Sus scrofa: one gene and its partner. The protein of the gene in region 1 interacts with the protein of each later gene in a pairwise test. Links are inferred from orthologs where the notes say so. Each region holds a gene or a part of one and is shown on either strand. Other genes may lie near its edges.

Region 1 (4,426 bases):
GTTCTTGATACAATTATCACTTAGCAGAAAGTGTTAAGTTTTAATTTGCGCTGTGGAAAAATCATTGAGATCCACTCCTATTCTCCTGCTTTTTTATCTTCCTTTATAGTCGTGGCCATGAACTAGGCATCTGGTAACTTTTAGATTCTTTGTTATGATTCTGTCAGCAGTCTCCCTTCCTGGAATGTCAGCTCCACCAGGACAGGATCTTTGTCTGCTTTGTTCACTAGGGTGTCCCGAGTGCCCAGCACAGTGCTGGGACTATAGGATATGCTAAATTAGTATTTGTTGCATGGATGAAAATCTTACCAATTTAGGTTATTTTCCACAGAGCAATAATACTGGGAACATCCTGCCAGGAATCAAAAAGTAACAGGAAAACTGTTACTTAAAAAAAAAGAAAAAAAGTTTGAACCCGTGGATGATGAGTGAGGCTTATTCAAGGTGTTTCCCTGTAGGGTGCCAGCCTCCCCGTGATGGACCTGACCGAGCTCCCCAAGTGCACGGTGTGTCTGGAGCGCATGGACGAGTCCGTGAATGGCATCCTCACCACCTTATGTAACCACAGCTTCCACAGCCAGTGTCTACAGCGCTGGGACGACACGACGTGAGTGCGGGAGCTCACCCCCCACCCTGTCAAAGTGCATTGTTATCCCTTCCTAGGATTAAGAACGGCCACCTCCCAAGATGAAACACTCCAAGTATTTGAATTTATAAGCCTGGGTAGCAGGATGATAAAGATGACACATAGAAGGGCCTTCCACATTGCTTCTTCACTTTCCTCAGCTCAGGTGGGAGTCAGCATTCCTAGACCAAGTCCTGTTGGTATGCTGATTCCAAATCCTTGTGGAATGTCCCAGAGCAGCACAAGTTGTTCTTTCAAGACCCAGAAAATGAGAAGGAAGAAAAGAAAAAGTAAAGCATGACTTCGAGGCTCATGTCAAAATGACTTCTAGGTCTAGGAGTTCCCATCGTGGCGCAGCGGAAATGAATCCGACTAGGAACCATAAGGTTGCGGGTTCAATCCCTGGCCTTGCTCAGTGGGTTAAGGATCCAGCATTGCCCTGAGCTGTGGTGTAGGTCGCAGACGCGGCTCGGATCTGGCGTTGCTGTGGCTCTGGCGCAGGCCGACAGCCGCAGCTCCGATTAGACCCCTTGCCTGGGAACCTCCATGTGCCTCAGGCACTGACCTTAAAAGACAGGAAAAAAAATGATGTCTGGGTTTAAAATCTTGTTTATCGCTTGCATTTCATGTCTACCATTTACTTTGGCTTTCTTACCAAAGATTGCTGGGCTACAGAAATCTCACATCTTGGGTTTATTGTGCTATTGATGACTCAGTGGCCAGTAGTAACACTAATAACTAAGTGTGAGACACACACACCATTGTGGTGTCCTGTTTCCGGACGCAGCAGAGGCTTTATTTGTCGGGTGGCATTATGTAGACAAAGAAATGAGGTATAACCTGTATGGTTTGTTTTGTTTTGTTTCATCAAAGGTTGCTGCTCCCTTTGCAAACTGTGTTGTGGGTCTTAGCTAGACCCTGGCCTCATGGATTTCTCAGTACAGAGGGGAAGGTGCAAAATCAAATAATCACACAAATAACTGAAGTCACAGACACCAAAAGTGTTACAAAGAAGCAGTGTTGTGACTAGAGAATAGGCCCTGACGCAGCCAGCACTGACTGGGAGGCAGTATCTCAGGGAAGATGCATGGGGATTAGCCACATGAAGGGTAGGACCCAGAGAGGGTGGTGTCGGGGAGGGGCATGCACAAAGGGAAAGATCACATCCCAAAGCCCAGGAGGGAGGAGAGGTGAAAGTCCATGGGAATCCTTCCCTGTTCTCCACCTCCTTGCGAGCAGAGACCTTGTCTGGCTGGTGACTGCTTTGCCCCTCACACTTAGCAAGACACATGGGATGCAGGGGGAACTATGTAAATATCTTTGAGCAAATTAATAAACCCTGGCTTTTCCATGGCTAATTAAACTGAAGGGGAATCTTGCCCCAGTTCTGTAGAGTCCTTGGTCACTTCTGGGGTATCATTTGGGGGTTCTTCAGGGAATTGTCCAGGTTTAAATTTGCCTTGAATAAAGCCAAGCTGAGATGTATGCATTCCATAAAGTTTTATTTGTATCTTGTATCCATCTGTTACAGCATTTAAGGTCAGGATGCTTCTTTGTTTTCCCGCCGCTCCAGATTTTTATTTTCTTTCAGTCAAAGTATTGATTTACAGTATCATGTTTCAGCCAGTACAGCACAGCGATTGTTATGCATATATATACTTTTTGAAAATCTTTTCCCTTATACAGTTCCCTGTGCTATACCACCATTCCAGCTTTATTTTCAGTACAAGTTAACAATTGTAGAACCAGGAGTTCCCATTGTGGCGCAGTGGTTAACGAATCCGACTAGGAACCATGAGGTTGCGGGTTCGGTCCCTGCCCTTGCTCAGGGGGTTAAGGATCCAGCGTTGCTGTGAGCTGTGGTGTAGGTTGCAGACGCAGCTCGGATCCCCCGTTGCTGTGGCCCTGGCGTAGGCCAGCAGCTACAGCTCGGATTAGACCCCTCGGCTGGGAAGCTCCATATGCCACAGGAGCGGCCCAAGAAATGGCAAAAAGACAAAAAAAAAAAAAAAAAAAAAAAAAAAAATTGTAGAACCATAGCTGTTTCAAGTTGGAAGTTTCCTCAGAGACTATCTTGTCCAACCTCCTCATTTTACAGGAGAGGAAACTGAGGCTTAGAAGTGAAATTAGCGTGCTCAAAGTGTCAGAATAGTGAATGCTGGAACTGGGACCAGAATTCAGCCCACCTGGCAGCTGCCCTCAAAACCATACAGTGCCTTCAGCAGGGGGTTTTTGAGCCTTTGTATATGCACACTTCATTGCCAAGGTGGGGAGAGTCACTCGTCCTCCTTAGGGACATTGAGGCTGCTAAGGGAGAACCACATATCCGTATATACTTAGAGCTCAAGGTAGAGACTAGAGATGGAGGTGGCTCCCCCATGGGGGTGGCCTGGAAGGCCTGCTTACATAAGATAGTATTGGCACCAGGCCTCAAAGGGTGGTTTCTTGTCAGGGAAGGTCATTCTGACAGGATTTCTCCAAGTATCTCCTCAGGAAAATAAGATGACAATTCACAATTATTTTTGAAGGGGCAGCAGGAGGAATTTAATAAGCTGTTTTTTGCTTTTTTGCTTTTTAGGGCCACACTTGTGGCATATGGAAGTTCCGGAGGCTAGGGGTCAAATTCGAACAACAGCTGCTGGCCTACAGCACAGCCACAGCAATGCAGGATCCCAAACCCACTGAGCAAGTCCGGGGATCAAACCCACATCTTCATGGATAGTAGATGGATTTGTTTCCGCTCGCCACAACAAGAACTCCCAATTATTTTTTATAATCTTTTTTTTTTTTTTTTTTTTTTTTTTTTTTTGTCTTTTGTTGTTGTTGTTGTTGCTATTTCTTGGGCCGCTCCCGCAGCATATGGAGGTTCCCAGGCTAGGGGTTGAATCGGAGCTGTAGCCACCGGCCTATGCCAGAGCCACAGCAACGCGGGATCCGAGCCGCGCCGCGTCTGCAACCTACACCACAGCTCATGGCAACGCCAGATCGTTAACCCACTGAGCAAGGGCAGGGACCGAACCCACAACCTCATGGTTCCTAGTCGGATTCGTTAACCACTGCGCCACGACGGGAACTCCCCAATTATTTTTTAATATAGAGAGGAGATGGTATATCACAGAGTGCTAATAATATAGTACACATACGTTTACTTTTGTAATTTTTCCCCCTTTTGCCTTCTTATTCTCAGGATCATACATTTCTGAAAAATCATTCTGAAACAGTGTAGAAAATTAAATTTCAGAATTCCGCCACTACTACAGCCACCACAAAGACTGAAGGGATGACCCAGAGCTAGTTTCTCCCTTTGACAAGACTGCTTTCAGTATACTGTTGCCACTTCTGTTATTTCTTCAAGTTTTCCTGTCTTCTCTTTTGATACTGAAAAAAGAGACACAATAAATCCGTTAGCTTTCTCTTGGGAAACATAGTCCTTATCTGTGACAAGGACTTAGTGTTCTTCCTGCTTATTTCCTTTGCTTGGTTTTATTGGTTCACTGGGGTAATCAAGTGAAACAAATTATATTCTTTTTTGCAGGGAGGGGGGGCCTTTTTAGAGCCGAACCCACAGCATATGGAGGTTCCCAGGCTAAGGGTCAAATCAGAGCTATAGCTGCCAGGCCTACACCACAGCCATAGCAATGCTGGATCCAATCCTCATCCGGGACCTAGCACAGCTCAGGGCAACACCAGATCCTTAACCCACTGAGCAAGGCCAGGGATTGAACCTTCGTCCTCATGGATGCTAGTCCGCTGAGCCATGGGGACGCTAGTTATGTCTTGAGCATTCTTCCTTCTTAGTGC
Region 2 (4,937 bases), on another chromosome or scaffold:
CACTGCTGGACATGGATTTTAGCTTAAAATACTTAAGGGCAAGTTTTTGGTAAGTTTTTATTATTATTGTTTTGTCTTTTTAGGGCTGCAGCTGCAGCACATGGAAGTTCCCAGGCTAGGGGTTGAATCGGAGCTGCAGCTGCTGGCCTACACCACAGCCACAGGCACGCCGGATCCCACATGCATCTGCGACCTACACCACAGCTCATGGAACACTGGCAGGCCAGGCCACACTTGAATTTACTCAAGCCCAGCCTGGTCCTCATCTCTGAGCTCCCAATCTGTATAACCAATTGCCTCTTCACCACTTCCAGGCTATCTCCAAGACAGGCGCCTGCAACACGTCTGCAGGTGAACTCATACTCTCTGGGTACTCCTGGATCTCTTCCGGTGTTCTCCCCTCTCCCCACCATTACGGAGGTCAGAAAACCAAGAGTTACCTTGAATACCCCTTCCATTTCCCATCCAGAATAAATACCTGTCAGCTTTGCTTCCTAAATGTCTTTTCTCTAGTCCGAGCTACCATCACTTCCTTTCTGCCTTCCCTCCCAGCCATTTTGCCTACTGCAACCAGAGTAATCCTGCAAAATGCAAATCTGATATTGTTCACTCCCCCCCACGACAGCCCATTTAAAAACTGTCCCTGGGACAGTTTAATCTACTACTTTGAACACATTCTTAAACTAGAGAGGCTGTAAGCTCAAGCTAGAGACTTAGCTGGAAGTTGGCAAACAGGGATCTAGTCCTAGCTGTCACTGACTTGGTGCGTGGCCTCTGTCACTACTTCTCACTAGGTTGGTTTTCCAGTCTGTGATATGGGATAAATATTCTTGGATTCACAAAGTTCAAAAGAAAGAGGCTGTGAAAGCACTAGGTAAGTTACTAGATGTAACGGATCTGTCATGAAGTCTGGAAAAGGAATGAAGCTCTAATTGCAGACCTTGGGGAGACGGACAACAGAGGAGGTGCAGGGAGAAGAGGTAAAGACAGGACCCCTCCTAAGTATGTGTGGAAGATCCTGCTGACTCTCTGAAAAGGAGGCTCTACTCTGGGTCTTCCTGCCTGGAAGGAAAGGGGCCGTTCAAGCCCCAGAAATTTTCCTACATCCCCAGAATTAGAGACTTTTGATTTGCTCTAATCCCACTCCCATGTCTTGCAGAGGGTCTTCTGTTGATCAGAGGAAAACCAACCCTATATCTGAAGAAGTTTCAGATCTTCCAGAATGTGTCAGGGACTTGAGACAGTAGTATTAGGGGGTCCTATTCTGTGATGATGGCGATCTTAAGCACCCCCACATCTGTATGGGTATTTATCTCCGCCTTCCCCCCCCCCCCCACGAGCCCGTCTATCCCATATGGGTTTGTGCCTTGTCGTTGTGAAAAGGGTTAAGACGGGGTTGTCTCAGATCCCCGAGGAGAGAAGTTCTTAGTTTTTCCTGCGTGCCCCTCCCCGCTCAACTCACCCGCAAGTGCTTCCCCGCCAGCCTCAGCGTCCTACTATCGCAGCGTTACTCGGCGCAACTCCATGGTAACCACCTTCGCCTACAAGTCCCGGCTGGCGCGGTAGGCGCTACCGCGATACCTTCCGCGAGCTGCAGTTCGTGGCGGGTGGGGGCGCCAAGGCCGCGGGTGGTGCTGGGACTTGTAGTTGCTTTTGCCCTCAAGCCGCGGGCCGGGCTCCGGAAGTTGTGGCACCCTTTCTCCCTTCCCACTTCCTTTTCGCGGGTCCTCCAGCGTGCCCTGGGCGTGCGACGCCAGCCGACACGGACCAATCGCAGGGCGGCGCGAGGGGGCGGGGCCATAGTTTAAACTAATTGTGCGCTCGCCTCGCTGGCGCGAGCCCGTGGCGAAGGCGATCCCGGGTAGGCGAGAGGCGGAGCGGGAGCGCGCGGCCAGGTAAGCGGCGCGGGCCCGCTGCTGGTGTGCGGCCTGGGCGCCCGCAGGGAAGCCGGGGCCTAAAGGGGGTGCTGAGAGACGGGTGCGAACGGAAGGCCTCGTTCCTCACCGAGGCTGAGTGGGGAGAGTCTGTCGCGGGTAAGGGTTGTGAGGAGAGGGCCTTGTCCGAGGGGAGGCGGCGGACGTGCTTCGGGGGAGGGCCTGCTCGGGGGCGTGTCCGTGGCATCGAGTCTGCGGGCGACGGGGTGCGGGTGGTGCAGCTTCCTCAAAGCCTGTGGCCGCGGCTTCCTGTAGTAATGGTCCTCGCCCGTTACTGCTAACAATAGCGGTAGTACTACTAGTAAACAGTTCCCGAGCACCGACGACGTTTCAGAGGCTGTGCCACGCCCGTTATGTGGATCCTCTTTTAAACAGTCCCGCAGCTTTGTCACACTTTACTACAGCGGGGCCCTTCTGAGGTTTATGTTCGGCTTGGCCGGGGTTGTATAACCAGTGCGTGGTTGGCTCCACTGGCGTCTTTGTGGGTGGGGCCTGAGTGGGAAGGAGGTGCTTTATTGGCAGTGAGGGTTGTCTCGGACGAGTCAATTTATTGTGAGCCTCACTTTTTCACGTGTGGTGTAAACAACGAGTTTACGTGCCCTTACCTACTTTCCTGGGGTTGTTGGACGGGGGGTGGGGGGTGTGCGGGTCAAATTAGGTAAAGTGTTTCTTTGAAGCGTCTCGGAGAGTACACATTCATGACCATAAGTGATGTGACCGTGTGAAGGTTATTGGTGCAAGAGAGCTCCTCTGGGTGGATGCTGCCCCTTCTGGGCCCCCTCTTTTGCTCACCCCTAAGGTAGCGTTTTTCATCTGGTGTTCGGAGTGTCTGCGCATTTGTCTGCCCTACTAGATAGAGACGGAATATTTTGCCCCTGTATCCTGATGCCTGTGCAGAGTGTGAAATGTATTGTGGCCATTAGTTAACATATGCTTTGAAATGAATGAGCTTTTTTGGGCTGAAAGGGGATAGGAACCTGGCTTTCCCATCTTTATTTAGTGGCTTTTGCATCTCTGTATTAAGTTAGCCTCGTGCCCAGAGTGGCACTGCCTCCAGAAAATATACTACTACTTACTTTAAACCACGCTGCCCTTTCTCTGGGGTCTGTTGCCAGGTCCTGCGTTTCTAAGGCTCTGGATTGGCAAGTGTTGTGGCCAGAAACCTTGGATGGGAAGGGAATTGGAGCTCTCTGCCTTGTGGAGATCTTTCCTGCTGTGAATTGATGAGAGCCTAGAGAGAATGTTCAGATCAGGCTAAGGCAACTTTTAGGCAGCGGGGAAGAGTATATGCATTCCCTCCCTGTCTCTTCCTGGGTGGTATTTTCTCCTTCAGAGGAAGAAACACACACTTCTCTGTAAAAAGCTACAGGGTACTCTTTTCTTGGCCCAAGTTCAAGCAAATGATGACTCATTGTAAAGCCTGAATCTTAATTCAAAGCCAGAAACGATAATTCCTCAAATTAGAACACCTTAACCGAAAGCTCATGTAAGGAATATTTCCATTTAGCGTGTCCTTTAAAAATTTTTTATTTTTTATTTTAATTAATTTTTTTGTTTTGTTTTTGTCTTTTTGGGTCAAGATCTAGATATGTTAGGATGGGAAAAGCACTGCCTCAGATGGCTGAGTAGAGTTGATCAGGGAATGTTTGACAGCTGGGTCTAATTAATAAAACCCTGTGGTCAGTAGGTATGTTGGGGGTCATTTATTTCAGCCTCTTATTCTGTACTCTAAGCATATCAAAAGGTATTGTCTAGACTCAAAACAGCACTTCTAAGAATGAGAACACCCCAAAGGTACTCTGTCTGTGTTGAACGATTCTGATAAATCACAATTATTTTGTGCTGTCAGTGATTATTTCATTTTACCCATTCATGTTTACTGTTTGTTTCCACGATTCTTTCTTGCATTTTATTCCCTCTTTTTGTGTTGGGTAGGTGAATACATCCTTCAGCTGTTTTCATAGTGAGGGTCGGTTAGTGGTAAATACTCTGTGGTGGGAAATATCTTTAATAGGGTTAATAGCTTTAATAGGTTTAATCAGTCTTGATTGGTAGTTTAGCTGGGTACTAGGCTTCCAATTCTTTTTTTTTCTTAGCACTTTGAAAATGTTATTAACCTAACCCTAACCCCATACCCTAACCCTAACCCTAATGTTATTTTACTGAAACTCTGGCATTTTGTTGTTACTCTTGAGAACTGTACTCAAAATTTAACTATTATATCATTGTATGTAACCTGCCTTTTTCTCGGTTGTTGTTGTTGTTTTTTTTTTTAATATATATTTTTTTAGGGCTGCACCCACACATAGGGAGGTTCCCAGGCTAGGGGTCGAATTGGAGCCCCACCCCAGTAGTTGTGTTTTTAATTTTTTAGGAATTTCTATGCTGTTTTCTATAATGGTTCCACCAGTATACTTTCCCACCAGCAGTACATAAGGCTTCACATCCTCCCAGGACTTGTTATTTGTTCTCACTTGTTTTATTTTATTACTTTATTTTACTTTTTTGTTTTCTTTTTATGGTTGCACCTGTGGTGTATGGAACTTCCTGGGCTAGGGGTTGAACCACAGCTGTAGCTGCAGACCTGTGCCACAGCAGCATTGGATCTGAGCCCCATTTGCGACCTATGTTGCAGCTTGTGGCAATGCTAGATCCTTAATCCACTGCGCCAGGCCAGGGATTGAGCCTGCATCCTCACAGAAGCTATGCCAGGTTCTTAACCTGTTGAGCCACATTGGGAACTCCTTCTCTTTGTGATAATAGCCATTCTAACAGGTGTGAGGTGATGTCTTACGGTGTTTTTAATTTGCATTTCTCTGATGATCAGTGATGTTGAGCATCTTTTCATGTGCCCATTGACCATTTGTTTGTTTTCTTTGGAAAAATGTTTATTCAGGTCCTCTGCCCATTTTTGATTTTTTTTTTTTTTATGTTGAGGTGTGTGAGTTCTTTATATATTTTGGATGTTAACCCTTTGTCAGATATATTGTTTATGAATATCTT

What was found.
Region 2: the proteins of BRAP (region 1) and NUMA1 interact in a two-hybrid assay, tested with the Homo sapiens proteins (2 studies listed by BioGRID and IntAct). The link is inferred for Sus scrofa from reciprocal best matches to the Homo sapiens genes BRAP and NUMA1.

The regions. Positions count from the first base shown.
Region 1 is NC_010456.5:32,820,869-32,825,294, reverse strand, and holds part of BRAP (BRCA1-associated protein), read left to right. Parts: intron 1-458; coding exon 459-607; intron 608-4,426. UniProt on the Homo sapiens protein: Negatively regulates MAP kinase activation by limiting the formation of Raf/MEK complexes probably by inactivation of the KSR1 scaffold protein.
Region 2 is NC_010451.4:6,659,748-6,664,684, reverse strand, and holds the start of NUMA1 (nuclear mitotic apparatus protein 1), read left to right. Parts: upstream 1-1,718; 5' UTR 1,719-1,895; intron 1,896-1,918; exon of another isoform or gene 1,919-2,033; intron 2,034-4,937. UniProt on the Homo sapiens protein: Microtubule (MT)-binding protein that plays a role in the formation and maintenance of the spindle poles and the alignement and the segregation of chromosomes during mitotic cell division.